Linked DNA regions of Macaca fascicularis. The protein of the gene in region 3 interacts with the protein of the main gene of each other region in a pairwise test. Links are inferred from orthologs where the notes say so. Each region holds a gene or a part of one and is shown on either strand. Other genes may lie near its edges.

Region 1 (3,972 bases), about 43 Mb from region 3:
TGCTTTCATCAATTTGTTCCAGACTTTTGTGAGTCTGAATTCCCTTTGCATTTAAACATGTTAGAGAACTGTAGGCATAAACACTGATAACACCTACCATTACTGAGCACACACAACATGCTAGATACAATGCTACAAACTTTGTCGTAATTTAAAAGTTATAAAGAATGTGTAATCACACCCATTTTACTGGTGAGAAAACTGAGGCTCAGAGAGGCTATTTTGGCCATGTTCTCACAGTCGATAAGTGACAGCTTTAAAAGACACACATGCTCAAGTCTGTAAGACTCAAAGTTCATACTTTTGATGTACAAATGTCTTCCTCATACATACCTGCTTCCTTCTTTAATATCATCTAGAGCATCTAGGTACTATACTATTCATAGTGGAGGTATTGCTTCAACAAATGATTCTATAAATTATTAGGAAAACAGCAATTAATTTGTTTGTTTTGTTTTTGAGGCAGAGTCTCGCTATGTTGCCCAGGCACAATCTCGGCTCACTACAATCTCCGCCTCCCGGGTTCAAGCGATTCTACTGCCTTGGTCTCCCGAGTAGCGGGGACTACAGGCGCGCGCCACCATGCCCGGCAAATTTTTGTATTTTTGGTAGAGACGGGGTTTCACTATATTGGCCAGGCTGGTTTGATGCCTCCCAAAGTGATGGGATCACAGAGAGCCACGACGCCAGGTCCAATTACTGCTTTCTTAATGGTTTAATACCATTACTTCCCCAAAAACAAAAGGGCCCAATACCTTAATTAATTAACATGGGCTCAAATAATTCAGGTGGCCCCTTCCTCAAAAAAACTTAAATATTTGTGATTCAAATCTTTTAAGTAACACTACTAATACTGGAACCCAAGATTATTCTCCCACTCCTAGACTTCTCCTCCACTCACCCTCCCCACCGCCCCCCACCCCACCCCACTCCCGGCCATCACACTAGTCCCCAAAGAAAGGGTTAGCTATAAATTGTTTTGCTTTGCCATTAGATAGGTACAATCTCTCTGCGCCCTAGAGAAATAGCAACCTGACAACACCCCTGAATCTGTAGCCTGCTAAACTTAAACCAATCTCACCCCTTACTCAGTGATTTTTTTTTAACCCACTAATAAGCATACTGTAAATGCTCATTACATAAAACATCCTTTCTTCCTGGATACAAAGGTTTTAGCAGTAGTAATCCCAGGGAATATTATAGCAGCAATTATTGCTCATTTACTCAATGTGAAAAGTGACAATCACATTTGTTACCGTACAATATTTTAATGTCACTATAAACACTAAGTGAAATAAGCTATTCGGGTATCTGACAAATGGGTGAAAAGGAAACCAGAAAAAAATATTTCACCGTTCATACTCTAGATACTGTGAAGAATATCCTTGTTACCTGTTATAGCAGGGTACCTTCGTTCTCTCCCAGCATATGCCACACCTTCTAGGTTGACAAAAGCAGAAAGACATCGGGGCTTTGTGTTTTAAAAATCGCAAAAGAGACTACTCAAACCTCTCCCCAAGAGCAAATTCTAAGAAGGAAGAATTCCACCTCCCTTTTCTTTACCACAAACCCCTGACTTTCCGCCTCTAGCAACCAGGGAGGGCTGGGGGTGGGGGAGAGGGTGGTTAGAAAACAGAACGCACGACTCGGTCATATTCCAGCCCGGCCCATCCCAAACTTCACCTAGGCACGGCGAGAAGCAGGGCGGCATCAGGAATTCCTAGGAAAAGGTCTCACCCCATCAGAGAACATTTTTAACTTCCTCGAAGCCACCATTTCCCCGGGGCATTATCACACACTCCCACCCGGACACATTACCTAAGAGAGTACTTATAAGAAAAGCATAACAACACAAAGAAATACACAGTGCTTGAAGCGGGTAGCTCCGGCTCAGGCGGCGCTGGGAAGCCCGGAGACCACGCGGAGCCGCCGCCAAGTTGCCACTGCGATCGCCCCGACGGTGCAGGCGCGGCCGCAGGCGGCTGGAAAAGCAGCGCGCGGGGCTCCACTTCCAGCCCCACGCCCGGACCCTCGGAGCAGGAAGCCCGGCTCGGTGGCCCAGCCTCTCCCGGAGGTCTCCGGCCTCGGCCAGAGCGGTAAGGTGGATCGGTGCTTCCCACCCTGCCAGCTCCGCCCTCCCGACCACATTCCTGAGAAGCCCTACTCCCGCGACGCCGCGCCCGGGAGGAGGCAAGAGCGCGACGCTGCGGCCGCAGGGCAGGAGCGTAGTCGGCCCCGCGCCCTCCCGCCCCCGGCCCCGGCCCCGGCCCCTGCCCGGGCCCGCGAGGCGCCTCCGGGGCGAGGTCGCGGCGGCCGCCCCGCCACAGGTAGCGCCAGCTCCCGCCCGCCGCCGCCCCGGCGCCCCGGGCAGGCCCGCTCCAGGTACCTGGATGAACTGGATGGTGAGCGCCGACTTGCCCACGCCACCCCCGCCGACCACCACGAGCCGGTACTTCTCCTGGCCGGAGCCGTCCCGCCAGCCGGCCGCGGCCATGGGGACGCCGCAGAGCCCAGCCTGACCGCGCCGAGCCGCCGCCGCCGCCCGCCCTAGGCCCGGCTGGGGACGTGTGCGGCCGGCTGGCTGCGGGCGAGCGGCCGCGCTGGGGTCCCGGGTACCGGGAGGTGTCGGGAGGGCCGGTCAGCGCGGTAGCGCGGCGCTGGGGGCTGGCTTGGTACCGCCCGAGGCGCGGAGAAGCGGGGTGACGGCACCGGCCAGGGTCGGCAGCGGCCGGGGGGCGCGCTCCTCTACGCGTCTCCGCAGCGCCTGCCGAACGCAGCCTCCAGCGCCGCCACAAATGGCCGTCTGGGGGCCGGGCTGCCAGGCTGAGGTGCTGCATATGCATGAGGGGGCGGGGAGGGGCGGGGCCGCGCCGCTTGGGGCTGAGGTTCGGGAGGTGACCCGGGCTTCAGACCTCCACGGACACATCGATCCAATCCCTAGCTAGTGAGCGAGTGCGTGAGAGTGTGGGAGTAGGTGTCAGTTGGGAGTGGCACGAAGGCTGTAACAGTGTGTGACCCTAATTGTGTATGTCAGGGATTGTATGGATGAAAAATACAATATGTGACAGCGTGTGTGAAAAATGGGCTGTTGGCATATTAACTCAATTTCATAGGAGAGTAAATACCCTGCTTTAAGAGTACAGATGGTGACCATATTTGTGTGAAAAACAGTATGTGACAGTGATTGAGGATTAGAGCTGTGTCACAGTAATTGAGTGTGTGATGGGCTGGTGGTTGTGACAGTATGAAAAATTGGACAGTGGCTGAGCATGGAGAATAAGTCACAGTGATTGAGCTTGCATGGGCAAGACGGAATGTGACAGATTTTGTATGTGTCAGTACAGTGTCATAGCGGCTATGTTTATGTGTGACAAATGTGCAGTAATGAGGAGTGTGAGTGTGAGGGGTTGAACTCCTGGCCTCAAGCGAGCCTCCCGCCTCGGCCTCCCAAAGTGCTGGGATTATAGGTGTGAGTCACTGTGCCCGCCCTCATGGGGTTTTTAATAAGAATTAAATGATTACATAAAACAGTGCTGGTACACAGGAAGCATTTACAGCAATCTTGGAACATGACTGCGAGTTCTTGGACTTGGTAACTCATTTGGAACCAGTAGAATGCAGCAGAAGAGATGCTGCCTAATTTACCAGGCTAGATCAGAAGAGGCCATGCAGCTGTTCTCTTGGTATTCTCACTCTGGGAGAAACAAAGTAAGAAGTTTGACTACCATAAGACTGCCATGCTAAAGAGGCTACATGTAGGCATGCCAATCAGAAGTCTCATTGATGGCCAGGAGCAACATGTCATTTAAAAAAAAACAGAAAAAAGTCCCACTGAGCTCCCACCAGATCACCAGCATCACTTGCCAGCCATCTAAGTGAGACATCTTGGACACTCAGCCTAATCAAGCCTTCCAATGATGGCATCCCCTGTTAGCATCTGACTGCAACTGCGTGAGAGACCCCAAGCAAGAA
Region 2 (4,256 bases), on a different chromosome or scaffold from region 3:
AGCCGCCCGGCCCGGCCCCGCCTCCGCGGCTCCCCCGGCCCTGGCCAGCCCCCGCCCAGTGCGAGTGGGCGGCGCCGCGCGGGGGAGGGTCCGAGGGGCGTCTCCGCCCCGGGACGCGGACACGCGCAGGGACACGCGCAGGGACACGCGCAGGCACCCGCGTCACGCGAATCGGCCGGGGCGCACGTAGGGGCTGTTCGGCGGCAGTCGGGAGCCCTGCCTCCGACGCCTTGTGACTGCGTGTCCGGCGGCTCGGTTCGGCTCGACGCGGCGGCGGCGGTGGTCACCCTCCGCCCCAGCCGGGGCCCCGGGGCCAGCGGCAGCTGGTCATTGTTCCAGCACAAAGGGCCACGGCACGGCGGCGGCCGCCCCTCCCCCTCCGCTTCTCCAAGCGAAGCTTCCTTGACACGCTCTCAGCCTCAGAGTCCCAAGCGAGAGAGGTCGACGACCGGCCGTCCCCCACTCTCCGGTGCCGGGGCCCCGCGCCCTAGCGCGAGTCGGAGGCCGAGGCTGGGTCCGCACCTGCCCCACCAGGGGCGGGTTGGAGGCGGCAACCTGGGCTTCGCAGAGGCGGCGCCACCTGGCGGCCCGCTCGAAGAACACACCCAGCCGCCCCCCACCACGCGGGCCCTGCCCCACTCCCCGGCACGGTGCCCTTTTCCCCGCGAACCCAGGCCGGCCTCTGGCGCGGCCCCGTGCTCCCCAGCCTCCCCTCGGGACCGCTTGCTAAGACAGAGGTCATTTCTCGGAGAGAAGCGGCCCCTGGCTCCCCAACAATCACTGGGGCAAACCGGTCCAAGCCTACAGCCCAAACCTACAGGAGCCGCACGGCAGACAACATTCCACTTTCTCAAGGTCGCAAATATTCTCACCTTCTCGCACACAATACAGTCTCCCTAACACCCACGCGACCTTTCCCACATGCAGCCTCACCACGCAGCCACAAGCAGTCTCAGCTGTCACGTGGGTCCGCGTTCCTTCTTTCCATAATCTTCCAGTCCAACTCACACACAGACACGGTGTCACAGGCCTGTTGGGCACAGGCTTCCACAACAATCCGCAGTCCTTCGCACCCAGTCACTGTCTCAAATGCACTTAGTCTCCTAACCATCTTTCACGCATTGACAGCCTCTATTCACAGTCACTCACACAGACAACTTCTTACAGCCATGCTTCGCAAATATTCTACCGCACAGCCTTTCCCCTAGGGGTCTCGGTGACCCGGTCAGGTCAGCTGATGCCTGCATCCCTGGGCAAAGACAGCCTTTCTCCCCTAACCACCCCCTCCCCCGCAGGGCCAAGGCCTGCCAGAGCTCGCCCGGGCCCCAGGAAGGAGCATCCCCCCCTTCCAGGCCACAGCCCTGGCCGGCTCTCAGCTCTATTTTTAGCTCCATGGACAGGGTTGTTTTTCTTTTTCCCTGGAAAGGGAAACACAGCCCAGCCACCCTCAGACTCACCCCAGACCCTCAGCCTCACAAGAACAGACTGAGACCCTCTCCCCAACAGAGCCCCCTCCTCTGGCCTTGCCCTGATCCCTGCCTCCTGGGGCACCGAGAACCTCCTCCCCTTTCTGGCAGCCTGCCCAGCTCAGGCGGCAGCTGGGCTCAGCGTGTGTGTAGGGGTAGGGGGTGGGGCGGGAAGAAGGCATCGAGCTACTGCCCACTCCCTCATTCCCTGGGGGCAGGGGCTCGTCCTCCTTTTTCTAGGGGTCTAGGCCCACTCTGGTATTGAGGGGGCGTTTACACTCATGCATTTTCTGCGGGGGAGGAGACTCCTACTCCGGCAAGGAGTGGAGGTGAGGGTAGGAAGGGGACCCGCAGGCGCTCAGGCAGCTGCTCTCTGGGCTGGCGGGAATAGGCGGGGGCAGCTGTCCACTGCCATCAAGGGCCTGTCTCCGAAACCTTCGGGGATGCAGATACCAAGAATGTGCTGGGGGAAGGACGTACAGGAGCCCAGGTTAACCCCAGCCCTGCCCAGCAGCCCGGCCCTCCTGCTCCGCCCCGGCTCCAGGGGGCGCTGTGCTCCGGTTCCTGGGAGAGGGCTTATCCCGGCTCCAGGAGGAGAATGGAACGCCGTCCGGCCTGGAACCAAGCAAACGGGCCTCGTGGTGGGGTTGGGGGCACAGGCCACTGGTGTGCGGAGCTGTCACGTGCCCGGCGCCTGTTTACGTCTTCGTCTTCACCTGTGGGCGGCCAGGAAGCAGGAACCTCTGGGTGCGTCCCACCCGGCCCGCCCCCGTCGGCGGTCACGGGGCTGCCCCTTTCCCGCACCCAATGCGCGACCGCAGAGTGCCCTGCCCGCTGTGGGTCCGCGCGGGCTGATTGGCGCTGTCCCTGGGAGTGCAAGGGTACAAAACTGGGCGCGTCCTTTCCGACTGCATGTGTGTTCGCGTGTCCCAAGTGCGGGCGTGGGTCTGTGCACGCGTGTTTGGGGCCCGTCGGCGTGCGTTTTCGTGTCGCTTCCCTGTTTGGACTCTTCGCGGGCGACCCACCAAGTGCGGACCCCCCTCCTCACTCCACCCCTAGCTTCCCCAGAAGCGGAAAGTTCGTTCAGGAGCGGGGATGTGCGGGAAGCAGGAGTTCCTGCACCTCCGCGGCCCCACCACTCACCCAGCGCCACCTGCGCCTCGGCTCCAGCTCTGGCCCCGCTCCTGCTCCAGCGCGCCCACCTCCTCGCCGCGACAACGCCGCCTCCCTAGCCCGCTCCGAACTCTGGGCTCCGAACTCCGGGCTCCGGGTTCCGGGCTCCCGGCTCCCGGCTCCGGGCTCCCGGCTCCCGGCTCCGGGCGCCCGCCTGGCCTGACCTGGTGGGGCGGGGCGGGGCGGCTCAGGCCGCGCCCCCCACCCAGGGAGGGGAGTGGTCTGTCCCGCACTCCACCAACAGCCTACCCAGTTCCCTGCCCCACAGGGACTCGACGGTGGCCGAGGCTGCCCCTCTGGCCTTCGCCTTCACAGTTTACTGGATTTGGTTTTTGACGTGGGGAAGGGGGCGAGCATCTCGTGACCGATAATTCGACTACCTGGCTGCCTTAAACTAAGCTGCCCTATAGAACTTGACTCTGCCACCCTCCCTGCTCCGTTGGGAGCCCAACCCGGTCCACTCTTGACCCAATCCCCAAATATAGGGAAAACCCCTGGGAATCAGACAAAGGAGGCTCGAGTTTCACCAGAGCAGCTCCCACCTGCCCCCACCATGCACACACCTCAGCGTGGGGCTGCCCAAGCAGAACCAGCACAGCCCCCTCCCTAGAGTAGGTGTCTGCCCAGGTGAGCAGGCCTGCCGGTTCTGACCCCCCACGGGGCATGACTGGGCTTCTCTTAGACTCATAAAATCCTACCCACAGGCACAAACAGGAAGTTGGCCTGTATTGCAGGGAGGCCCCAGGGGCTCCCTCCCGCCATGGCACTCAAGGCAGCATGTGGGAAGGTCTTTAGGTATCTGGGCCGTATGGGCTGCTGGAGACCTCGGTGAGTTGTTGTTTTTTGAGACGGAGTCCCGCTGTGTCGCCCTGGCTGGAATGCAGCGGGCGCGATCTTGGCTCATTGCAACTTCAGCTTCCAAGGTTCAAGTAATTCTCCTGCCTCAGCCTCCAGAGCAGCTGGGACTAGAGGCATGTGCCACCACGCCCGGCTAATTTTTGTATTTTTAGTAGAGACGGGGTTTCACCATATTGGCCAGGCTGGTCTCGAACTCCTGACCTTGTGATCCACCCACCTCGGCCTCCAAAAGTGCTGGGATTACAGGTGTGAGCCACCACACCCGGCCGAGCTGTTTATTATTAAACCCATCCACAGCAGAGAGGAAGCTGCTGGAGGACCAAAGCTGCCCCCTCATAGCCAAGTGTGACATACACTATCAGTTAGAGGACAAGGCTGTAGATCCAACTGGACCTGGCTTAGCCAGGCCTTTCCTGAGTTCTCGGGGAAATGTTTTTGAATTTTTTTTTTTCTTCCCAATCCACTGAACCTGTGAGTCAGGGAGATTCTTAACATCCAGTTGGGTGTAGGCAGACCAGTCCTATCCCAGGGAATCTGCACAGGCCCTAGGGACCCCCCACTGCTTTCTAGAATCCAGGGATCTGAACAGGCTGGGCCCGATCATGATGTGGGTGTTTAAGGCAGGTATGGAGTAGAATGTGTTTGTGCAGGGGGTGGGGCTGGGGAGAGTATTAGCTTCCCCTCCACCTCATCCTTCTGGTTTGTGCTGTGTGGGGATGTCTACTAGAAGGGTGGGGCAAGACAAACAGACAAGTCTGT
Region 3 (2,103 bases):
CTAGGTGTCAGCAGATGGGAGCCCTGTCTGGCAGAGAGTAGATTCCAGGAGAGAGTTAGCAGCCCAGCTCTCTCCTTCCCTTTCTGCCATGAGCTCTGCTTGTGCAAAATCACCCATTTTGATCACTGAAACACTTCTGGGAACCGAGCAGGGCAGCAATAGTGTCCCCACTTTACAGATGAGAGTACTGATGCTTGCAGGTGCAGGTCCTTCGGGTGTCCAGGACAGGGGTGGGCTCTGAGCCTTTGTTGCTGTTCCGTGGCCTTTCTAAATCCTCCTGACACCTAGGAGCCATTGGAACCTTTTAGGGTCTGGAAGTCTCAGCCTGGTGGGGGCTACTGGGGTGGAGCCCTGACTCAGTCACGCCCATGGGGGGAAGGGTAAAAGGAGCCGAGACTGTTACCCTCCCCATGTCAGAGGTTGGGCATCCATCAGATTCGCCCCCACTTGGCACACTCCCCATTGCAGGCTGGCTCACCCTCAGCTGGGTGAGAAGAACAAGAGGCAAGGGGCCTTGGGCACACAGTCTGGGGGTCCCCCGAGCCCCCTCATCTTTATTCCAGTTCCTCAGATGTGGCAGTTCCCTCAGCTTCCCTGGAGACAAGTATCAGACAAAGGTGGTGGCAGACACTGGACAGGGCCCTGGGTGGGGCTGCTGGCGCTAAAAGGACTTCTCAGCAGGCGCAAGGTCTCCCGCCCCAAACGACCCTTCTGGCCACTTCAAGCTACTCCTCTGCTGCCCGGCTTCCCTCTGCCTCTGGCTCCCCTGGCTGAGCAGGGCCTTCACGGGCTCGACCCTGGCCCCCTTCAGCAGTTGTGTCAGACTCTTCCCGAGTGTCCCTGGGGCTGGCTTTGACCCCAGCGTCCTCATCTCCCTGGCACCCTTGCTCCTCCCCTCTGCTCCTTGCCTCTGACTGCCCTCTGCCCTCCTCCTCTGTTGCAGCCTCCTGGGTCTCAGGCCACTCTGCCCGGCGGTAGACAAGGTAGCCAGTGGTGGGCAGCCTGCGGGCCAGGGCTCCAGGGGGCAGGCGGTGGTAGCCCTGGTCCTTGTACAGGAAGAGGCCAAAAGTGTTGGGCTGTGTCACTCGGAACTTGGTGGCACAGAGCTGGTTCAGGGTGGCGATCGAGGCCTCTGGGGGCACGGCCAGGGTCTTGGAGGTGCAGCCACTGCTGGGATCCTGATAGGCTACTCGGAGGAGGTGCTATGCAGGAGGAGAAGCAAAAACAAGTACTCAGCCCTGACTGGCATGCATCTGGCTCCAAAGCTGAGGGACCAGTGTGGGCTGTGCAGGGACAGGGTGGGGAGGTGGAAATCCAGTGGGAGAACCAAGTGGCAAAAGCTCTGTGAGCTCCAGGGGTCGGCTTGTGGGCCACAGTTGAAGGTGCAGGACAGCCCAGTGGGGAGCTCACAAGCCTGAGACGAAGCTTTGATAGTGCACACTTTGTGCCCCAAGTACTCTCCTGCATTAACTCATTTAATCTTTACCTCAACCCCACGAGGTAGGTCCTATTACCCCATTGTACTGATGAGAAAACTGAGGCACAAAGTAGTTAAGTAACTTGCCCAAGTCCCCACAACCCAGTGGCAGAGCTGGGATTAGAACCCGGGATCTGGCTACAGAGTCTGGACTCTTCACCAAGGACAGGAAGGTGAAAGGCGGGGATGGTGTCTGGCTCTGAGGACACGGTGGAGGGCCTGTTACCTGGAAGCAGTGGGTGGCAGGCAGGCGGCGCTGCTCCCAGAGGCTGAGGGAGCGCCGTAGCTCCTGCGAAGGACTCAGTGGGAGGGTATGGGCCTGACCCAGGCCACTCAGCAAGGCCAGGCTGGCAGACAGGCTGGTCAGGTAGTAGCCACCTGGGACACAGGGTGGAATAACACGGCTCAGGCTGGGTGTGGGGCACCCATCCCCTCTCCCCTTCCCTGCTTATTCAGGGCCCACCCAGGCAGGGAAGTGGGTGGGGGTCCCTCACCCTCTCCGGTGAGCAGGCTGGGCTCCAGCAGCTCTGACATGTACTCGGCCTCCAGCAGCAGCTCAGGAAGGTCACAGTGGGCCAAGACGAGGCTCAGCAGAGGCAGGAACTCGTCAGCACCCGCGTCCTCCC

What was found. The genes of interacting proteins can lie anywhere in the genome.
Region 1: the proteins of RIN1 (region 3) and RRAS2 interact in binary tests that used the Homo sapiens proteins (3 or more experiments, as listed by UniProt). The link is inferred for Macaca fascicularis from reciprocal best matches to the Homo sapiens genes RIN1 and RRAS2.
Region 2: the proteins of RIN1 (region 3) and LZTS2 interact in binary tests that used the Homo sapiens proteins (3 or more experiments, as listed by UniProt). The two-hybrid records come from large-scale screens. The link is inferred for Macaca fascicularis from reciprocal best matches to the Homo sapiens genes RIN1 and LZTS2.

What each region holds. Positions count from the first base shown.
Region 1 is NC_088388.1:51,408,268-51,412,239, reverse strand, and holds the start of RRAS2 (ras-related protein R-Ras2), read right to left. Parts: upstream 2,806-3,972; 5' UTR 2,495-2,805; coding exon 2,387-2,494; intron 2,119-2,386; exon of another isoform or gene 1,684-2,118; intron 1-1,683. UniProt on the Homo sapiens protein: GTP-binding protein with GTPase activity, involved in the regulation of MAPK signaling pathway and thereby controlling multiple cellular processes. Regulates craniofacial development.
Region 2 is NC_088383.1:109,955,009-109,959,264, reverse strand, and holds the start of LZTS2 (leucine zipper putative tumor suppressor 2), read right to left. Parts: upstream 2,806-4,256; 5' UTR 2,610-2,805; intron 2,214-2,609; exon of another isoform or gene 2,183-2,213; 5' UTR 1,920-2,182; intron 1,276-1,919; exon of another isoform or gene 873-1,275; intron 14-872; exon of another isoform or gene 1-13. UniProt on the Homo sapiens protein: Negative regulator of katanin-mediated microtubule severing and release from the centrosome. Required for central spindle formation and the completion of cytokinesis.
Region 3 is NC_088388.1:8,069,437-8,071,539, reverse strand, and holds the end of RIN1 (ras and Rab interactor 1), read right to left. Parts: coding exon 1,972-2,103; intron 1,856-1,971; coding exon 1,704-1,855; intron 1,203-1,703; coding exon 726-1,202; 3' UTR 515-725; downstream 1-514. UniProt on the Homo sapiens protein: Ras effector protein, which may serve as an inhibitory modulator of neuronal plasticity in aversive memory formation. Can affect Ras signaling at different levels. First, by competing with RAF1 protein for binding to activated Ras.